Linked DNA regions of Coturnix japonica. The protein of the gene in region 2 binds, or shares a complex with, the protein of the main gene of each other region. Links are inferred from orthologs where the notes say so. Each region holds a gene or a part of one and is shown on either strand. Other genes may lie near its edges.

Evidence for each region. Proteins that work in one complex are often made in the same cells at the same time.
Region 1: ANP32A (region 2) and nucleoside diphosphate kinase A-like share a complex: the UniProt entries of both Homo sapiens proteins name them as parts of the SET complex. The link is inferred for Coturnix japonica from reciprocal best matches to the Homo sapiens genes ANP32A and NME1.

What each region holds. Positions count from the first base shown.
Region 1 is NC_029533.1:8,737,308-8,747,762, forward strand, and holds nucleoside diphosphate kinase A-like, read right to left. Parts: upstream 6,831-10,455; 5' UTR 6,372-6,830; coding exon 6,078-6,371; intron 5,598-6,077; coding exon 5,496-5,597; intron 5,140-5,495; coding exon 5,027-5,139; intron 4,837-5,026; coding exon 4,719-4,836; 3' UTR 4,484-4,718; downstream 1-4,483. Other genes in the region: nucleoside diphosphate kinase, read right to left, coding at 2,511-2,714, 2,839-2,917, 3,030-3,142, 3,407-3,508, 3,763-3,891; SPAG9 (C-Jun-amino-terminal kinase-interacting protein 4), read left to right, coding at 7,173-7,478. UniProt on the Homo sapiens protein: Major role in the synthesis of nucleoside triphosphates other than ATP. The ATP gamma phosphate is transferred to the NDP beta phosphate via a ping-pong mechanism, using a phosphorylated active-site intermediate.
Region 2 is NC_029525.1:17,469,098-17,479,888, reverse strand, and holds the start of ANP32A (acidic leucine-rich nuclear phosphoprotein 32 family member A), read left to right. Parts: upstream 1-4,025; 5' UTR 4,026-4,212; coding exon 4,213-4,266; intron 4,267-10,791. UniProt on the Homo sapiens protein: Multifunctional protein that is involved in the regulation of many processes including tumor suppression, apoptosis, cell cycle progression or transcription. Promotes apoptosis by favouring the activation of caspase-9/CASP9 and allowing apoptosome formation.

The DNA.
Region 1 (10,455 bases), on a different chromosome or scaffold from region 2:
TACGGTTAACTTGTGTGTTCCGGCAGCCTACAAAGTGCTTGAAGGCCATCAGCCCACAGAGCCCCCAGGAGACCGTTTTTTGTATGTCGTAGATCAAACCTGGAAAGAGGTGCATAGAAAGTTGAAAACCAGCAAATGGAATCTTTTCTAAAATATTGCTCTAACTTTGGGTACGTAGTGTGGGTAATATGCACAGGTTTACCTCATTCTATGCAAGAGGGGTTAATTATGTAAAGTTTTGTATTTACTACTGGAATTTAAAAAGAAAAAAACAAAAACAAAAACCAACCTGTCCTGTATAGCATAGGAATGTCTGGAATTTTCCCTTACCAGTGAAAATGTCTGTACTGACCCCTTTTTAACAACAGCTTCGTACACTGACAGCATCTGCGTAATGGATTGGAGGCACCTGGTACTTCAGGTGATGCAGACGCTTCAGCTCTCTGCAGCAGCCATAGTGAAAGGACTTTCACTTGTCTGCTGGGCTTCAGATCCGTCCTCTCAGAGCCTGACCCTCGTGGGCATTTCTATTGAGCGCCCTGTGTTGGAGGAGTAGGTTTAGAGACCATCGTTAATGACACTTTGAGCCTTGATTTTACTCTTTTTTTCCCATGCTCTCCGTTTATGCTGCCATAAAATCCAGTTCTGCAAGTGTTGATTTGGTTTGGTAAGTACATCCCTGTTGGTTCCATTCGTGGTCTTTGATGTGGCAATTTCCAGATCTCCACAGGCAGCTGGAACGAGTTGGGCACATTCTCGCTTTCTTATCAGTTGCTTCTCAGTACAGTAGAAAAACGTGCATTAATTTGTCTATTGATGTGAAAATTTGGGCTGTGGTTGGCAAGGGATGTTCCCAAGCCAGGAAACCTTGGGCTTCTGTGTGTTGCCCAGGTCAGAGCTTGGCTTCCCAGGCATAGCTGACCTGTGAGCTTTGGCTGCTGAGAGGCAAAGATGGCACTTTGACTGCATTTCCTGTGCTGGAGAAATATAGGAATCAGATTGGAAATCTGTCAGTGTTTCCAGTGTTCTTTAGGAGCAAGTTCCCTTTGGTCAAACACTACGTGTCTGAGCTGCCCTGCGTTCTGATGGCACACGACTGTCGGAGCTGTGGGCTGAGACAAAGGAGGGACGTTTGTGTCCGTATCGAGAAGATACCAGCGTTGTTTAACTGTTGGGTGGTGGGATCTGTCCTAAGCAAACCGTGTCAGGGATTCAGGGCATTTCCTCAAGAGGTTTGTGGGATCCTGGGCTGAGCAAATCCCACCTGGTGGTTCGAGGATTTCTCTTCAGCCGTGGGTTACAGGTCCCTTCTGGTACCTGTGCTGTGGGCTTTGCTGTGTGTAGGGAGCACCCATCAGTTTCTGGGGGTCATTAGCTTCACAGAGCAGTGTTGGATGCGGAGCTTTCAATGGGGTCAGCGCTGGGCACAGCAGGATGCCATGTCTGCAGCTCCCCTCCATTGCTGGAGCCCTCCTGGTGGTCTTGGAGTTCTGTCAGTCCAACCCTTCCCTTGCTGCACCCGAGGAAGTGAAGGTGGTCATCAGCTCTTTGTTCTACGGATACTAACACGGGTTTCAGTGTTTGTTTGTTCTTCTTGTTGTTTTACGTGATGTGAATCCCCTCCCCTGTCCGGATTTGTACAATGGTGCTAATATATTTGGTAACAATCCTTTATTGGGAAGGGATTTTTAAAAAAAAAAAACTGTGATTTAAACTGAATTTTTTCTTCCTTTTAATTTTGCTATTTAAAACAAAGCCGCAGCCATTTATACACACAGCTGTCAGCTCCGGCCCCGGGGAGGCGCCGGGGCAGGATTGGAGGTGAAACAAATGGGGTTTTTACATCATTTCTGTATGTATTTGATATATAAATCAATATCTGTACAAATTTATCTTTTATTTTCTTGGTAACTCGTGTGGTCAATGAGGGAGTTGAAGGCTTTCTCACACAATGTACATACGTGGAAAAAAAAAAATGCTTTTGGGGAAACGAAACGTTCCTTTCATTTTTATGAGACCGCAGATTTTCAGCATGGATGTGAAAAGCATTAAAATTATAACTTTGTGTACAAGATGGAAATAATTCACTAAATTTGCCTTTTTTACACAAAATAAAAACGTTACAAGTCAGTTCTTGGATGTTGTTTCCTTGTGGAGCTGCTGCTGGGCACACAATGGAGCTGCAGCCCAGGAGAGGCAGGTTTTGCACCTGGCTTTATTTTACAACTGTGCATAGGGCTAGAAATTATCATGGGGAAGCATCAGGTTTTCCCTTCAGTGCAGCTCTATGTGAGGAGATGCAGCATCCTCTCCCTCCCCATTCACATTCACCCAGCTGGGGCAGCTCACTGCTCTGCCCTACAATGAAAGCACCGTAAGCAGTTGGTTTGTATCATCCATTTATTTGACTGCTCTGAAAACCTGCCATGAGCAGCGCTGCACTGATTGCTCCCAGACCGTCAGCTGCAGTGAGGTGACACCTCCACAAGGCACAGTTTGTTGTGGAAACATCACTCGTAGATCCAGTCATGTGCACAGGGTTTGTAGTCGATGAGCTCTGCCGCTTTGAACCACAGGTTGATCTCCTTCTGGGCGCTTTCTACAGAGTCGCTGCCGTGGATGATGTTTCTGTGGAGCAGTGCAACATTGTTCAGTATCAAGAAAGAAACCTCTAAGGGTGGAAATGCCACGTGGAAGAAGTGAGGATGAAGCACCTAAAGCGACAGCCCCCATCTCAGGTACAGCACCTGCACAGCCCCACTATAAGCTCTGCTCACTACACCCAACAGGGTGGGGGCTCAGGGCTATTCTACTGCAGCAGCCACTGCCTGATCTTACATGGAGCTCTGCCACGTAGCTGAGTTTTAAGAAGTTTTGTACCCAGCCACTGTCCCATGTAGCCATTATGGGCTGCAACCTGCAAATGAAACCCCATCAAAGCAGGTTAAGCCACCAGCAATTTGTCTTCCCTGAAGAAAATCCTGCCCCTGCTAAGTGTGATCCCCATAGAGAAGCAGCTGAGCACTGACCTTCCCACTTGGATGCAGAAATCCCCACGGATGGTGCCGGGCTTTGAGTCCGCAGGGTTGGTTTCCCCCAGCATCACTCTGCCAGTCTTAACCACATTCAGCCCTTCCCACACCTGAATGGGAGAAAAAACAGCAAAGCACCATCAGTCCCTGCCTGCATCGAACACTGCACAACAGCTGAGCCCTAGTGAGGGCTTCACCACTAAACCAACCCCCCCCAGCTCCTCTCAGTTTTTACCCCCAAGCTGTAAGGGGTTTTTTGGTGTGTGTGTGCAGAAAGTAAGTTTTGAGGGGCTCTATTGAACACAACGAGCACTGCAGCACGTGTTTGAAGCACACATCTTATGGCTCTGCACATGGAAGAGCAGGCTGCGTACCATGGCCACCACGGGGCCGGAGTTCATGTACTTCACCAAGCCGGGGTAGAAGGGCCGATCCTTCAGGTCGATGTAATGCTGCTTCAGGAGCTCTTCAGAGGCCTTTGGGAGGACAAATGGAAAATGTCAGCCCCCACCCCGCACCACAGAGGTGTCACTGCTGTATCATTTATCCCCGTGTTACTGTGCTGCTCCCAGCACCGCAGCAGCTGCTGCCCCGTGTTCCCCCTCTGTCTCCCCGCGCTGCAGCTCAGCGCTGCGGACCCGGCGCTCTCCTGGCGGTGTGAATCGCACGGACCGCGGCGACAGCGGAAAGAAAGAGCCGGGCACAGCCGGCAGCTCCGGCCTGGACTTACGTGCACGAACTTCATGGCCACCAGTTTGAATCCCTTCTGCTCGAAGCGTTTGATGATCTCTCCCACCAACCCCCGCTGGACGCCGTCGGGTTTGATGGCGATGAAGGTTCGCTCGCAGTTGGCAGCCATGGCGCTGCGGAACACGAGCACACGGCCTCAACCCGAGCCCCCCCCCCCCTCCAGCTCAAGGTCGGCCCGCGGCCCCTCCGCCATTGCTCCGCACGGCCCACGTGGCGCCCGCCCCGCACTGCCCCGCTCCGCTCCCGTCCCGTCCCGTCCCCCCCGGGCCGATATCCGCACCGTGCAGCCTGCCCCGCTCGGATCCCTCCCGCCGACCCGATCAGCCCCGACCCGACTCGGCACCTCCCGCAGCTCCGCAGCCACCGCCGTGAGCTCCGCAGCAGAAAGAAAGAGAAGGAGGAGGCGGCCGAGAGCCGGAACACCGCCCTGCGGGAGGGAGGGGCACGGAGGGGGTGCAGCGGCGCTGCGCTGTGATGGATGGGCGGTGCGGATCCGGCTGTGAGCAATGAGCGCTGCGGGGAGGATGCGGGATGAACAGCGGAGCTCCGGGACGGGCCGCTCAGTGATGGATTGAGCTCCGCGTCCGGGCATCGCACGGTTTGGAAACAGACATCGAGGTTTCTTTGCTCGTAGCTGCTTTGGGTTCATCGGGTTTGGTACTTAACCCTGGAAGCCGAGCGTGCTACGGCTGGACGGTGTGTGTTATTAACGAGGGACATTTTGCTTCTCTGCCATTTAATTTCACCTCTACCACCACACGAACGCCTGACACGGCCCTAAACGCACATTTCCTATCTCCAGCTTTGCAGCTTTCTAAGCAAAGCGACAGGAAGCACCGATCGCTATTCACAGCGGTGCTGAAGCGGCTTTGCAGGAGGTGATGCTATGGAGCGGAGCTCACTGCAGGACACGATACCGAAGGCAGAGCCTCAGTTCTACTCGTAGATCCATTCGTGAGCGCAGCTCCTGTAGTCAACCAGTTCTTCAGGAGTGAACCACAGGTTGATCTCAGCCTCGGCGCTTTCTAAGGAATCGCTGCCATGGATGATGTTCCTGGGAAAAGATGGACATTACAGTGATACAATCTCCAACCTCCAAGCACAGCACTGCATTCACGGTGAGGACCTACAGCTCTTCATCCAGCTCTAGGAACGGCCCCAGGCAGGGCAGCCTGCAGCACAGCTCTGTGCCATGACAGCACCGCCCTGCACTGTCTGCAGATATCGATAATTGGAAAACATACCTGCCAACCTGCACACAGAGGTCACCACGAATAGTGCCGGGTTTGGAGTCCATGGGATTAGTTTCCCCCAGCATCACTCTTCCAGTCTTAATCACATTAAGACCCTCCCACACCTCAGGGGAAAAGAAAGATGCTTTGAGATTCTAAAATCTGATCTGTAGACAGAGCAGGAAGAGTTAATAATGTGTCCCAGAATGACACCCATGGCAGCACAAACCAGCACCCTAACAGCTCCTATGCTGTTCCATAGTGGGTTCTTCATGCAGCTTTCCTATCTCTCTAGCTCTCAGCTTCGGTTCTCAGTTCCCCCTGCCCTCTTCTTCAACATACTGTCTCAACCACATTATTTAAACCTAAGTTTCTAAAATCTCTTATAGGTGAGCTGGCATCCAACAGGTAACACAAGGCTCTTAGTGAGGCAAGTCAGCACCATGTTTCTCTACAGCTAAACCTCATCTGCAGGACTCACCATAGCTACAACAGGCCCCGAGTGCATGTACTGCACCAGGCCGGCGTAGAACGGGCGCTCCTTGAGGTCGATGTAGTGCTCCCGTAGAAGGTCCTCAGAGGCCTGAATGGAAAAAAAATAATAATAATAATCAAAAACCCCACAAGGACAGAAAGTTTACAGCAAAGTGAGCTGAGATCACCTGGCTGCAAGGCCATGCTTGGAAAGCTGGCACTTGTAGGAAGCTCCTACATTGGATGCAGTAAATGCGGGTTTCAGTGGTTGGCCTGAACTACAGCTGAGCTTCTAAAGGCGTCTGTTGCCCAGCAGGTAACCTGTGTGACCTGGTAATTGCTGAATATATCCAGATACCAGCTGGGCACAGGATGCTCCTACAGGAGCGTTCTCCTCACTAAGGACATCAAGTTACTAAAATTAGCGTGCTTAGCGTGTCTAAAGCATTTAGCCAGAGCTGGCGACTGGAACTTCTCCAGAGCACCCAAAGGAATTCCAGGTTTAACCCTTCGGAGCACTCTGTTATCACCTCCCGCTCTGTTATCAGCTTGATATTTCTATTAAGAACACGAGGGAAGGGCAGCTTACGTGTGTGAGCTTCATGGCCACCAGCTTGAAGCCCTTCCGCTCGAAGCGCCTGATGATCTCCCCCACCAGCCGCCGCTGGACGCCGTCGGGTTTGATGGCGATGAAGGTTCGCTCAGTGATGGCAGCCATGCTCCTGGCTGCTGTCCGGGGCTGAGCACACACAGGTTCACACTCCAACACGGCCGGACCCCGCTCAGACCCCGCTCGGTCCCGCAGCCCCGCTCGGTTCTGCCGCTGTCGCTGCCGCCCGGCTCGGCTTAAACCCCGGCCGCCCCCGGGGCCGCTCCGCGTCATGGCTGTAATGCGGCCTCCCGCCAGCAGGGGGCGCTCGGCGCATCGGGTCCGTCCGCAGCCGGTACCGATAATTCATGTCTGTTATCATGGCAGAGCGCTGTGATACAGCTCCGGACCTGGTGCTGTTTTAATACAACCCCGAGATCCTGATCTCACGCTGTGATAAAACATGACCAGAAATAAGATTTGCCAACAAGGTGCATCTTACAGCACCTGAGACCTGTCCCAGATGGATTTTATTCCTAAACACTTCATTTATCTGTGCTTGAAAACATCCAGGTGGCCAGAAATAAAAGCAGCACAACCAGCCGCTCCTCCCTGCACTGACTCGGGCCGGGCTCAATGCAGCTGCTCGAAATAGAACCACGGCTGTCAATTCTAATAGAAATAAGGTAAAAATAGCGTGTGCTTAGAGGGCCCTGAGGGGCTGTCAGACACCTTGACCCACTTCTGCTTGCAGCCCATAGCACACAGCCCATAGCTTATAGCACACAGCCCATAGCACACACACAGCCCATAGCACACAACAGCAGTATAACAGATCAGGGCTGTACAGCCCCCACCCCGCCGCCATCTTGCAACCCAGCCCTGCTCACGTGACCGCCATCACCCACACAATAAGCCCCGCCCCCTCGTGACGTCACTCCCAGGCCACGCCCCCTCCACGTGACTCTAGCCCCGCCGTCCCGTCGCTGCGGTGACGTCATTACCGCGCGCCGCTCTCCGCCCCCCGCCCGTTCCGTCCCCCCGTCGGTCCGGCCGCAGCCGAGGCCCCGCCGCCCCCCCGGCCCGGCTGCCGCCATGGAGCTGGCTGACGGCGTGGTGTACCAGGAGGATCCCGGCGGCCCCGGCCCCGCCATGATGTCGGAGCGGGTGTCGGGGTTGGCCGGTTCCATCTACCGCGAGTTCGAGCGGTTGATCGGTCGCTACGACGAGGAGGTGGTGGCGGAGCTGATGCCGTTAGTGGTGGCGGTGCTGGAGAACCTGGACTCGGTGTGTGCGCACAGCCAGGAAACCAGCGTGGAGCTGGAGCTGCTGCGGGACGACAACGAGCAGCTGCTCACACAGTACGAGCGGGAGAAGGCGCTGCGCAAACAGGCCGAGGAGGTGAGTGCGGACGGGGGGGCCAGGGCGGCTCCGCGTTTCCTCGATGCTCCTCCCGGGGCTGCGGGGGGAACCGGGGCGAGGCCTTGAGGATGGTTCTATCCGCCCCCCCCGCCGTTACCCGCCGTTGGATGCAGCGCTGCGGGGCGGGCGGGGAGCCAGGAGCTGGATGCGCTGCCCACCCGTTGTGGGTGCGCTGTAAAACGTTCAGAGGAGGGGTACAAAGCTGGTGAGGGGTCTGGAGAACTGGACTTATGAGAGGCTGAGGGAGCTGGGATTGTTCAGCCTGGAGACCTTATGGCTCTCTATAACTTCCTGAAGGGGGGTTGTAGTGAGCTGGGGCTCGGCCTCTTCTCTCGTGTAATCAGTGATAGAACTAGAGGGAATGGTTTTAAGCTGCGTCAGGGGAGATTCAGGCTGGACATTAGGAAGTATTACTTTTCGGTAAGGGTAGTCAGGCATTGGAATGCACTGCCCAGGGAGGTGGTGGAGTCACTGACCATGGGAGTGTTCGAGAAACGCTTGGATGTGGTGCTGAGGAATATGATTTAGCCTGGAAGTATTGGGAATGGTTGGACTAGATCTTCTAGGTCTTTTCCAACCTTGATAGTTCTGTGATTCTGTGATCAGAGCTGCGGGCAGCAACAGGTGGTGCGGAGTGCTCCTTGTCAAGCAGATATTGACACAAAAATGGGGTGAAAACACCTAATAATGCTCTCATCGCTGACTTAAGGCTTTTTGGTGTTGTTTTTTTTTTTTCCTGCTGGAGTGTAAAGCAATCCAACAGAAAGCAGCTGTGCAGGGTGGCTGCTCTCAGCTCTTTGCCCCTCTCAACTCCTGTAGGAAATTGGATTGACAGCATTACCTGTAATAGAACAAACCATCTTATGAGTCTATTTCCAGACTTCGTGTCCCCTGTTTGGCTCTGGGTTGTTTGCCTTCTAAATTTTCCCAAAATTAATAAAATAGCACTGAAGATGAAGGTGGTGTTGTTGAAGAGAGCTGAATTTGTAGAGCTTTGTTTGCCCTGCACACGTGTGTGTATCTGTTATGGATCTGAGTGAAAAGCATTGCCCTACAAATGTGCTGTCAGGTGTCCCAGCCTCCTGGACCAACAAACCATTCCTTGTCCCTGTCCAACAGCAGCTTTAACTGCTTTGTGGACTTTGGTCTGGAGGAGAGAATGTCAAAAAAAAGGAGAGAATGTCAATATAGCACTGTTTTCTTGGACACAGCCCGTTATTGGCTTCATGTTGTTTGTTTCCCTTCATTGTGAAGGTTCCTTGTGTCACCTGATAGCAAAATGGACACTTGTGAGTGATGTAGTTGGGTGTCCCACGCTCTGTCTGGGCTGTCCTGAGGAACTCAGGAGCCTTCTTTTACTTTCTCCTTGACGTTGTAGTTCTTATTTGAGTTCTTACTTGCAGCGTTGTCTTGGTGAGTGTTAATGGTGTGTTGTTTGAGTAGAAGCATGAATGTACTGATGTCCTAATTTGCCTCTTTGTTCCTGAACTGAGTTTTTAAGAAATGTTCTGAAAGCTGTTGTCTGTGGACTTTTGTTAGGGACTTTCAGATAAGGAAGAATTCAGAAGTACCAGATCTTTTCAGTTCCCTTTGATACTGATTGTGATCTTCCTAATTGCTCTAATTTGCCTGGCTTTTAACATGGTGCTTTTTGTGGCGGAGCTGGAGAAATAGAGGAACTTCCTACTGGTTTGTTCTGCTCACAGCAGCGTGCAGCTTAACTTTCCTACCCAGTAGTGAGGCAGTGAGCCCTGCAACAAAGAAGTTGGAGGGGAAAAGAGATTCAGTGTTCTGTGATCTTACTCCTGCAGGAAGAAGAACGTGTATGCTGCTGTGGTTGTGTGTGGATAGCAGGAGTTTCACTTGGACTTGGAAACACGGGCAGTTAAACAGCTTCAACTTCAATCCACCTGTATTTGTATCTGCACCGTGTCTAGCTGAGCTGGTTCTGTAGCTGACCTTATGTGTGTACCCTGATGCAGCTGCCTTTGGCTGCATCATCGCAATGGAAGTTACTCAAGTCTGTGTCACAGGGTGATGAAGGCAGCCAAGTGGGCGGCACCCTCAAATCAGATACACCCTCAAATCAGATACTCTGAGTGCTGCACCTGGATCATGTGACAGGAAAACATGCCAGCGTGTCAGGGAGGAGGCGATAAAACTAATGTAGGAAGAAATGTTTAATTTTGCTGACAGTGTGTTACCGAGTCACCAAATGATTGTTTGCTTGGGTGGTTGTTCAAACTGTATGTGTATGCTGCGCTGTTCCGTGATTCACATCCGTGTCTATTGCAAGAATTATTGCAGTAAGCTCAATATAGTGATAAATCTATATGGGGATTTGTGAATCTTATTGCTTTGTACCCGGGGTCTTTAAGCAGGTCAGACAAATGTCTGTCTGAAGTGACAAAGTTGACTCTGCCTGGAGAAAACGGGGAGGAGTGGAAGGGAGTTACTAAACATAGCTTATGGAGGGATCTGAGGTTTGGATTTCAGCAGAAGGCAAAAGCAGAAGGAGGTGTGGACTGGATCCTGTGCTTATAACTCATATGTCAAAATTAGGATGCAGACAGGCATTAATCATCGCAGACCAAGAGCCTTGAACAAGGTGGTCTTCGAAGGGCAGGTTGAACCCTTTGGTTTCAGTGTCTTCTGTCATTGGCATGAGTGTTTAAAGGCACATTGGTGTCCTTCAGCTTGTTCTTTGCAGGAAAAAAAAGCCAGAAAACTCACTTCTCTTGGGAGCTGTAAGCGCTCAGTCTGAAGGACTCAGGCCTTGGTTTGGTGTGGAGTAGCACACAGCAAAGCAAAGGGGGGAAACTGACTCAGCTCCAGTCAGAGGAGTTACAACCTCAATTCTAACTTTAACAAAATAAAGGCAAAATCAGTGGGAAAATTACCCCAAATCATTTCACTTTTAAACAAAACCATTTTTAATGCATGCAATTGAAGGACA
Region 2 (10,791 bases):
CTTAGCATTAAATACAACTTTAAATTACCTATTAATAGTTTTTCTATCTTACTTGAAACAATGTTAAAAAACAGAAAGTTTTGACACAAACATGCAGCACTTGCAAATGTAAATGCAGAAATCATTCATGTGCCAAAGGGGTTGAACAATCACAGAAGTCAGCACTGAGAGATACTTTGTTTTAATGTCATTCTCCTTTGAGTTAGGCAAGCCAGAATAAAAATAAGGGAAATAATAGGAGGCAAAAACCCTTCTGGGTTTAGGCTTCACTCTGCTTGCACCTCACTAAGGACTACTAAGAGATGTAAATAACTGAACAAGTAACAAGGCACAAAATCAACACCCAAGCCTCTTACAATGACAGTTAGCTTTGATGCTTCTTCAACAAACACCTTGAGGTTTTCATTTACTTTTCCTACCTACAGCACCCCCATGCTAAGGGTCTCAAGATATAAATCTGTTGTCAGAACACGTAGCTTGTTTTCCAATGCTCATCTTTGGCCTTTTCCCCCCAGAATTCCTCGATACCAGTGATCAATATTGTTCTCACTTCCTGCTCACGACCAGCCTTCCAGATACACTGGAGGGGTGGAGAAGTGAGAGCAGGAAGAGGGACAATTCACAAACAGAATTTTCTCTTTCCAGTTTCTGTATTTACACACACAGAAACGACTGAGGAAGATGTTACACAAAACATGAAGGACTGCATTGTATAGATGCGGCGGGGACAAGCCAGAGACCAGGAGATCTACAAAGGAGTATTATAAGACAGAAAACAATTGGCAGCTCATTTCAGCAAATGCTCAACTACCCACTAAGTTTACAGACATGGGAAATGCTCCTGCACGCTCTTAAAGTATTGCTGCTTTTCATATAAAACTTATGGTAAAGTAAAGCTGTAGCAATTCACATTAAAAAAAAAGGTGGGAAGAGATTTACATAGCAAAATAAAAATTGGGCACGAAATCACCTAACTGCCGTTACACTAAATAGCTTTGCAATGTTAGATCGGAAAATACCTAAAAGAGAATCATAAAGAAGCTTGTAAAAACATAACTCAATAAAGCTTCAGCATCTTCCACAGTGAGTGCCTTTAGCAATTCCAGTTTGGGCCAAAGATCCTGACACATGATGAGCTTCTACGTGCAAACCTGTACTCAGAATTTGTTGGTCACATAATTAACAACAGATGACTTTCAGTACTGAAGGAACTGGATAAATATGTGAACCACATCCAAAACCAAACATTAACTGCAGTGATTACTTACAACATCAACTTCTTTGTACTCGAACATTAAAAAACAGGACGTACAGATAAAAACAGAGTATCTTCATCTTCCAACAGGAGACTGACCACAGGTCCTCACGACCACTTCTCATCACAGTGAGCTGAGCTCAGACCATCACTGCTGCTCCATTCTGTTAAGGACTCTGACAAGACAGGACTCCGTAGGTTTGTCAGTGCACAGCATTTCCAGTCAGTGACACCTACAACAGGTAGAGGAACCGTTTCCATCATTGAAATGCACAATAAAAATCCCCCAATTAAGACTTAGCATTCCTGCACCAAGAGCTAACAGATTTTTCCTCTACTGCAAAAGCAGCAAACCTGAATCTTTATATCAGTATCTAAGCTAATTTTTCTTATGTTCTAAATGTTAACAGTCAAACCATTGAGCAAGTACTGTTTAAGCTGTACCCTACAGTTACTCAAAATGCACATACTATTGTGAGAGGACACTTCAATATCTGACCCCCAGAATATTTCCATTCATTTTTAGTTCTCCCAACGACTTTCAAGTCCTCTAAAATCATTACAACATGCAGCATATCACACAGCATATGCTCACATGGGGCAGAAGCAATATTTAAACTCCTTTGGTTTTGAACTTTGAATTAATTCATCCCCATCCTGGAGAAAAGCAGTTCATAATTTTAAAGAACACATTCTTAAGAAAGCAAGAAAACCCTCTAGATTTCCAGAAACTTATTTTTTTCCCCATGGTGATGGCTGATACCTACTGTTACAATCAGAAAGGTCAGCATGGAGGACCAGCAATACAGGAGTGAAACAGCAAAGGGATCAGAGCAGACAGAATGGATTCACACAGAGAAAGGAAAGTGCTCACCAAGATCTAGGCTCGCAGGAAAGACTCCACAAGAGAGGAATCTCCTACCAGAGATCCTTCTCCTGTGGCAGTCAGTCCTTAAATGAGGTCTAACAGAGGTGCAGCCAGGCTCCACCCCTTCTTGTCTCACAGCTGAACTGCCTTTGCTTGTGCTCCCAGGGCTGACCAGTCCTTTCCCCAGGGGATCAATCAATGGGACAGGCTGGGACTTACTGGTTACCATACACGTACAGATGCTCTACTTTTCCAAAGATCTTCACCTGTGCCGTTGAACCACATTCCAGACTGAGACATCCTTGGTGAAACTTCAGCCTAGTTCAACCTAGGGGCCACCTTCGTTCACACCTGTAAAGGAGAATTTAAAACAGAGGTAAAATAAAATTCACCTTGAGCCAGAAGTTAGAAAACTTTGCCAAGTTTACATCCTAAAACACTGCTTTAGCACAATGAAACCAGTGTTATCGAATAGTAAATAAAACAACTCATCCAATGGCTCTAACAGCTACACTACAGAGAGACTCATATTGTAAAACCATAGAAAAGGCTGAGTTGAAAAGGCCACAATGCTCATCCCATTCCAACCCCCTGATGTGTGCAGGGTCAGCAACCCCCAGACCAGGCTGCCCAGAGCCACATCCAGCCTGGCCTTGAATGCCTGCAGGGATGGGGCATCCACAGCTCTTTGCTCAGCCTGTGCCAGCCTGACCTCAGCGCCCTCTGAGAGCGTTTCTTCCCAACAACTAACTTAAGCCTCCCCTCTTTAAGTGTAAAGCCATTTCCCCTTATCCTATCGCTATCACACTGTTTAAATAGTTACATCCCCTCCTGCTTATAAGCTCCCTTCAAGTACTTGAGGGCTGCAATAAAATCACCCCACAGCCTTCATCACCAAAACCTGCTGCAAATAAAAAGAGCTGTAGAATTAAGGTTATTAGTTTATTTACCTTACACTGGATCCAGTTCCATCTCTCTGCCAGCTCTCACTCCCACTGAGCTGCCCATTGCACCTCGTCCAGATGATGTGGGTAAGATACACACCCTATAAATGAGAATATCACAGTAGAGGGTGAGAATTGCCGCCTATTAACAAACATAAACGTCTCAAGCTGCTCTCCCAGCCTCCACGCTGCACAGGGAAGCTCACTAAGGGTGCTCACCTCTGCATGCTGCACCGCAACAACAGGCCAGACCTGGTGCAAACATCGAGCCCTGCCAGGACGTTTTTAGCACCTCGTTTCAGCAGCTCGCCTGGCCAAAGATACAAGAGAACACACAGCTCTTATTGGCAAGGCAAGGCCGCACGGAGCCGGGCTTCAGGTGACACCCATTCACCACAACCAGAGCAACCGCCGGGCCTTCCCATCACCGCCACCTCTCCCGGACCCCCCTCACATCCCACCCCACACGGATCCCCCATGCTGCTCCAATGCTGCCCCATTCCCCCCCAACATGGCGCCCCTCCCCCTCCGGCCCCGCCCCTCCCCTCGCTCTTCCCGCCCATTCCCCCCCCCCTCCGTCGGCCCGCTCTTCCATTCCCCTCAGCCTCCCCTCAGCCGCCCCGTTCCGCACCTTTCCCTCCCTCCTGGCTGCTCGCCCCTTCCCCGGGCGGCTCCGGCTGGAAGCTCCGCTCCCCGCCCCTCGGCGCCTCCCCCAGGATCCGGCAGAGCGGCGGGGGGGAGAGCGGTGAGAGGGGGAGCACGGCGCGCCCCAGCCCCACCGCGGAGCCGCGCCGCTCCTTCCCCATCAGCCACCAGCACGGAATGATCCTCCGCTCCCAGCCGGGCTGTCCCCCTGGCCGGCTGTGCCGCTTCCCTATTGGCTCTCACAGCGCCTCGCTCTTTCCTATTGGTTACAGCCTCGCGGAGAGGCGAGGCGATTGGCTGGTTGAGCCGTCAGTCAATCCGGAGCCCCCACCTCCGCAGTTATCAGGTTAGTGTTCGCCGCGGCGCTGGGGCTCGGGATTCCGAGCGGCGCTGGTTGAGCCCTCAAAGTCCCTCATTACTGAGGGGGGGTCTGCGGCGGTGTCACCACACGGAGCGGAGCCGGGGACAGCGAGAAGAGCCTCCAGCACAGAGCCGAGACCATGGACATGAAGAAAAGGATCCACTTAGAGCTGCGGAACAGGACGCCCTCAGATGTAAGCAAAAAAAAAAAAAAAAAAAAAAAAAAAAAAAAAAAAAAGGCAGCTCATCTTTTTTTTTTTTTAAATTATTATTTTATTTATTTATTTATTTTAAAGGGGGAGGTGGGGTGTGTGTGTGGGGGGTCGACGCCTTTAAAGCTGTATACCCGAGCAGAGGGCCGCGGGCCGGGCGCTGCCTCCTCCTGCGTGGGGCTGTGGGGGGGGATGGAGGGGGGTCGGTTCTCACCTCACGCCTCGTACCCGGGGGGCGACCCCAGAGCGGGGCCGGAGCGGGGAGCGGCCGAGTTGTGGCGCCGGGGGGGTCCGGAGCGCGGCGGGTGTGTGCGCGGCGGGCGGGAGCGGAGGCTGGGGAGCCATATTTGTAACTTTGTGGTGCTCATGAACGCGCCCTTTCTCTCTCCTCCTCTCTCCCTCCCGATGCTGAGGGAGGGGGGGGGGAAAGGGGAAAAGGGTCGGTGGGAGCGTGGCCATGGGGGAGCGGGGGATTGAGAAAGGGAGCGAGGAGAAAAACAACGAGAGCGAGGAAGGGAATGCGCTCCGCACCTCTCCATCCCCGCACGCACAGAAGGGCCGGCTGCGTGTGTGTGTCTGTGTGTGTGTGTGCGTGTTTTCCTCTTTTTTTCGGCTTATTTTTAACCCTTATCCCCGCAGCTCGGGGCAGCGCTTCAGCCTCTTCCCCGAGCGAAGCGGCCGAGAAACTTTGTCAGGACGAAAATAGTCGGAGCCCGGGGGGTGCCCCGAGGCGGGCGGGCCCCCACCCCGAGCCCCGCTCCCAGGGTGGTGGTGGCGGCGGGTTTCGAACCCGCGGCCCCGAGCGAAGCCGCCCCCGGGGGCTGAGGGCGGCGGTGGGGTCCGCGCTGAGAGCGGAGGGGGGAGAGCGCGGCTGAATGGAACGTACCTCTAGGGGAGGAGGGCGGAGGCGGATGGATGGATGGATGGATGGATGGATGGATGGATGGATGGATGGATGGATGGAAGCTGCTCTTTAAACTTTAAAAAGTCCTGTGCCGGGAGGAGGAGGAGGGCACTCGGCGCTGCCGTCCCGCGGGGCTCATTGTCCCCCTGTGCGGGGGCACAAAGCGGGCTCGGAGCCGAACCGCTCCCCGCGCCGCTCCCGGGGCCGTCTCCAGGCGCGGGCAGCGCAAGTAGGACGCGGCGCCATGTTTTTTTCCCCTCCCGAGCTCTGAGGGAGGAGGAGGAGGAGAAGGAGGAGGAGGCGGTTTGTCCCTCCCCGCCGCTCCGCGCTCCCCTCCGCGCCGGGCGGGGGTTCCCCTCCTCGAGGGGCCGCTTCGGAGCCCTTAACGCTGCTCGGTGGCGGTGGGTGTGTGTGTGTATGGGGGGTCTGGGCTCGCCATAGCGGATCGCGGCCATCCCCTCCCCTCAGGGGGCGCGGCGGGGGCGGCCGGGGCTCGGAGGGGGCTCCTCCATGACGGACCGCCGCCGTCTGCCATTTTGTCGCCGCTGTCGCCGGGCGGGAGGAGGTTCCTGGCGGCGAGACGCGGCGGCGGGACGAGCGGAGGGTAAAGCGCGGCCTGCTCCTCTCCCACCCCCCTTCCCCTCCGCCGTTCCCCTTTGGATCGGCTCTTTGCCCCCTGGTCCCTGTGGGGCAGCGTTGGGGAGGGCGGGGGATGGGCTCTGAGCAGGGCCCGGCTTTGTTGTTGTTACTGTTATTAGCGTTATCCTGGAAGTATTTTTTATCTTTGTTTTGTGGGGTTTTTTCGCGTTTATTTGATGTAGTTTTTGTCTCTCGTGCTGCTGGACAGTGAGATAAAGCATTTCATGTGGACTCAGCCTCCATCCCAAGTGTGCTGGGTGCAGGCTGGGCTCTCCCCGTCATTCATATCTGCTTCAGCTTCTGCTCTGACTTAGAGGGAGTTCCCAGAGCCCCCATTGAGCGGTGGGTCACTGCTCTGGGAGTCCCGATCTGTTGCTGTTTCACTGCTCTGAGAAGCCCCACTTTGGTGCTGCTTCCTTCCATAGACAACCCCATCTCACTGCTGTATTGCTGCCCCTCGGCAGTTCAGAAACCCACCCTGCTGTAAAATAATGCTTGTTTGACCCGCCGTGTCTGTTTTATTTTAACCTCTTAACCTTTAATTCTGTCACTGTGTTCCACTTCCCAAGGTAACAAATGGGCTCGTAATCCGTTCTGTAGGTAAACAGTTGCGCCTGCATACAAAGGGGAGCTGCCCTTTGGGAGTGCTGCTCTGTTTACAGTCATTCCTGCACAACCATTGATGACAGATGCTTCCACCTGCTCTCGTGTTGTGGGGAGCTGAGGGTGCAGTTTGAACTCTGTTGCTTTAAAGTAGCTGTTAGAAGCAAATGCAGCTCAATCCAGCCAGTGCTCCAGCGTTTGAAGCTGAGTTTTAGTGTAAATATAATGCCAGGTATCATTGATTCGTGGATGTGGGGCATGAATAAGATGGTTCTGGGCACTGTGTTAATCTCTGCCCTCATAGGCAGCCGGTGTTTCTTGTATTTTCAAAGCTTTAAATGTAATGCAGATAAATCTTGCTGAAAACAAGGGCACAAATGGGAGTGTATTCGCTTCTTGGGGCTGCTATTGTATATGTGCTTAAGTCTGCAGTGCCTCTCACGTTCGATCTGTTCTCAGAGCTTGCAGAATCAAAACTTTCTGTAAATCAAGCTTTGATAAGGGAATGTTGATAAGGTGTTTAAGCTCAGAAAGCCCCTATTACCATCTTATGCTATGGGCTAATACAGCTGTGTCAGATACTATGTAATACTGTACAGCTACTCAGTTACATAACCCTGCAAGGTTACATGTTAGCCAATAAAAATGTAATATAAATGTCTCAAAGAGGATTGTATTGTAGCTATTTCCTTCTCAGGCTCCGCTGCTGTTTTATATGAGGTCGATGCTGGTGAGCAGCCTGGGGTTGCAGTGCCTGAAATTCGGTGGGTTTTGTGTGTGTTGGTGAGGAATCTATTTGTGGTGCCTGGAATTGGTTTTTCCTTGTTGTATGGCCCGAGTTGAGCTCTGCCATCTGCCTTGTAGGTATTGCCGCTTATTGTAACCCATTATGTTCAATGTTCTCTTACGGCAGTGCACGTGCTGTGGCCTTTGATGCTTTGCTGATCTTATCGCTATCATCTTCTATTATACTGCATTAAAGTGCCTACTAGAAATTGGTGTCTAGATGAGGAGCTATGAGATATGGGTTAGTGGCTTTTGCTGGCAACAGTAATGGGAGGACAGTTGGACTGGATGATCTTGTAGGTCCTTTCCAACCTTGTGATCCTATGACTCTGTGGTGAGATCCAACTGTTTTATATGGGTTTTCTCCAGGCCCGTAGTGATGTAACTACTGACCACAGGGGGCTGGGTGTGTTTGTGGGTGTTGCTGCTCATTTCTATTGTCTGTAACCCAGCTCATGTGCAATGATGTCAGTGTGAAGGGGGACTTCTCAGCCATGGGGCACAGAGGCAGCGTATGGAAGTTATGCACCAAACTCATCTCTGATGGCTTAGTGCCTCCATACCGGTTCACTTAGTCTGAGGATTTAGTGCTGCTTTTGAGAGGAGCTTTATCAGCTCAGATTTATGACAGTGATAAAGCTCTGCCTGCAACATTGGGTATCTCTTATGGTTTTTCTGACTTTCTCTTTCACTTTAAAACTTGTTTGGATTGTGATTTCCCTCTAGTTTACTGTAGGTTTTAACATTGAAGGGTGTAAGCATCTATGTGGAGTGTTCTCTCGTATGAAGAATCTAAATAACAGAGCTCTTTTCTCTAGTTATTTGGTGTGATGCTCACAATAACAGTAGAGACTTTAAAGTGATACATGTTGCTTCAAAGACCTGCATCTGAAAAAGTTTGGGTACAACCACCTGATGGTCTATAAACCCGATGGGAAGTGTTTGCCTTCGCATCACTGTGTGTGATTTGTGTTCTCTATGGGGGCACTTGTTTGTCCATTGACTTGGTCTGTTGAACACTTCCCCTCTAAAGCCATAAAAACGCTAAGGAAAAGCTTATCTTCTCTAAGTGTGATTTGCTAATGCGTTCTGTAGCAGCTGACATCTTTAGTGACTGCTTTCTGTATCAACTAAGCAGCTCTTGAAATTAGTATTAATTTAAATAGAGCACTTTTTGATGTATATCAGTCATTTGTTGCTGAGGGCAGTTTGATGCAGCTGAACAAAGTGAAGAGGTTCAGCTCAATACTTAGAACTTCCTAACTGCGGAGTTTTCAGGTTGTGATGTGATCTACCTTTTGGTTCTGCTTTATTTCATTGTAGCTGGCAGTAACTGAAGAGCACCTTGGATGTGCTGTCAGGCATGTGGCTCTCGTACAAGGAAGCTGGAACATGGAGCTGATATGCCCCCCATGAAGTCACCTGCCCCAGCCAGGAGCAGAAAGTGACATCAATGTGAAAGCATTTATTACAAAAACTGAGTAATTTAATCACTTACAGGTTTGAAACAGTCACCGTCTACATAAATATTTGGAGTCTAAATTAGAGTTTTGCTGCTAATGATAGAAATGAAAACTAGCTCTGTGCTTTTGAATGAAGCAGCTTTCTGTGTCCCCAATGTGTGTTCTCAGTTTATTAATTCATGTGGTGCTTATGCATACGGCTACATTGACCTTATAAGTGTGTGAAAGTATCTTTATGTGACCCGTGGGGTTTCATGCTGGGGTGCTGTTCCTTGAGGAAGGCAGCAGTAGATTATTATCTTTATTCTGGAGGCTTTTTGATTCTGAAGTTTCTTCCTAATTAGATACAGAGGTGTAGTGAGAATCATTAAGACTCTTAACTCTCCTATTGCTTACGTATTTCCTCTGCTCCATTAGGTTTCTCTCAGGTGCTGTGTGAAGGGGCTTCAAGTTGGCTGGAGCCAAATGTGTTGCTCTCGGGTCCTGTAACTGGTATGTGAAATGTTAGAGGGTAGAAAAAGTAAAGATCTCTGAGCTATGCAAGCAAACTTAGGCTGCCTCAGAAGAGAGAATAGCTTCAATAACAGATACATAAAAAGAGAAAATTAGAGTGTTTTCTTATCTCTCTTCTGCTCCTTCCCTTTTCCTGGCTTAGCAGTAATGCAGAGTCCTGGTGTGTTCTGTTTCTGGAAAAGAGATGCAGAAGATGAATTCAAATATGCAAGTTTGGGGTTGCATCATTAGGAGGAAGCCTAGGTGAATTTCAAAGCCCAGTAGTAGTTTCACATGACCTTGTTGCAAGACTTTGGAGCTCCAGCTCGGCTGAACACATACAAAATGGGCAGAATTAGCAGAAGTGGAACAGGTTAAATTGGAGCAGCCTGCATGGGGCACTGTTGTGCTCACCATCTGCAAACTGTGTTGTTTCAGAAAGGCCAGTTGGAGGGTGCTGGTGGAAGGGACAGCTACGATTGGGAGGGTGCAGAGATCCCAACAAAACAAGCTCCAGCCTCAGCTGCTCTGGAGCTCCAACATGAACCAAGTGTTTGGCAAGGGTGAGCTCTGCTGTTTGGCTGGGTACCTGCTGGCCATAATGATACCCAATGTTCACAGTGACAAGGGCCACACATTAATTCCATCCCATCTCTTCCCAGCTGTCACTCGCTGCTCTTCCTGCTGTGTGTTCTGCTGCATCTCAGGGCAGTGCTTTGTGTTCTGTGGCCTTTTTTTGAGCAGTGTTTCTCCTTGCTCCAGGCTTTGCAGATTTCTGCCCAACGCAGTGATGACCAGAGCCCGTGCAAGGTCAATGGACTAACTAACTTTCATTGTGGAAGACAATTCAAGCAAGTAAAATCTATTCATTTGTTGCATCTCAGCTTCTCATAGTGAAACTTTGAGGAGATGCATCAAAATCCAATGTCAGAAGTTGTTCTGGTAGGGGAAAAAAACAACTTTGCTACTGTCACCTGCAACCAATGCTTGTAAGCTCTATTCAGCAGGGAACAGAGCAAGGCAGAGTTAACACCCTCATCTTCTCCTGTTTCTGGGGGTTGAAATGCCACACACTGAGATATCCCTGTCCTAGGGGCACAGCAGCAAACACTTCAAAAGCATCTGATCCATTGTGCTGAAAATGAGATGTTACAGTCTTAGTAGCTCTGCTTGTGAAGCCACAGAATGGTACTTGTACTTGTAAATTTGCCTTTTATCTTTTAAAAACTGTATTCACAGCTGTGTCCTTCTGTCGCATTGTTAAGCCTTCAATCACAGACCTGGATTCAGGAGCTTAGTCCCACTTCTGGGTCTCCCTGCCCAGGGGCTGTAGGGAAAGTCTCTACTTCAGAAAGCCTTTTTTTACATGCTCTTATGGCAATGCAGATTAAGGGTTAAGGTGATACCTTGTGCTGCATAGTAGCTGTCTGTAACTATATTGCATTGATTGTGCATTTAGAATATGGGAGTGAGCGAGCTGGGGATCCTCTTGCTAGGGCTGCCATGAAATTCAGTCACTGTTTATGCGTGACTGCCTGTACTTGGCCTAGGAATAGGTTGAAGTCTTGCAGTGTACACGGCTATGTTAAGAATACCATACAGCTGGGCATACAGCTTAAT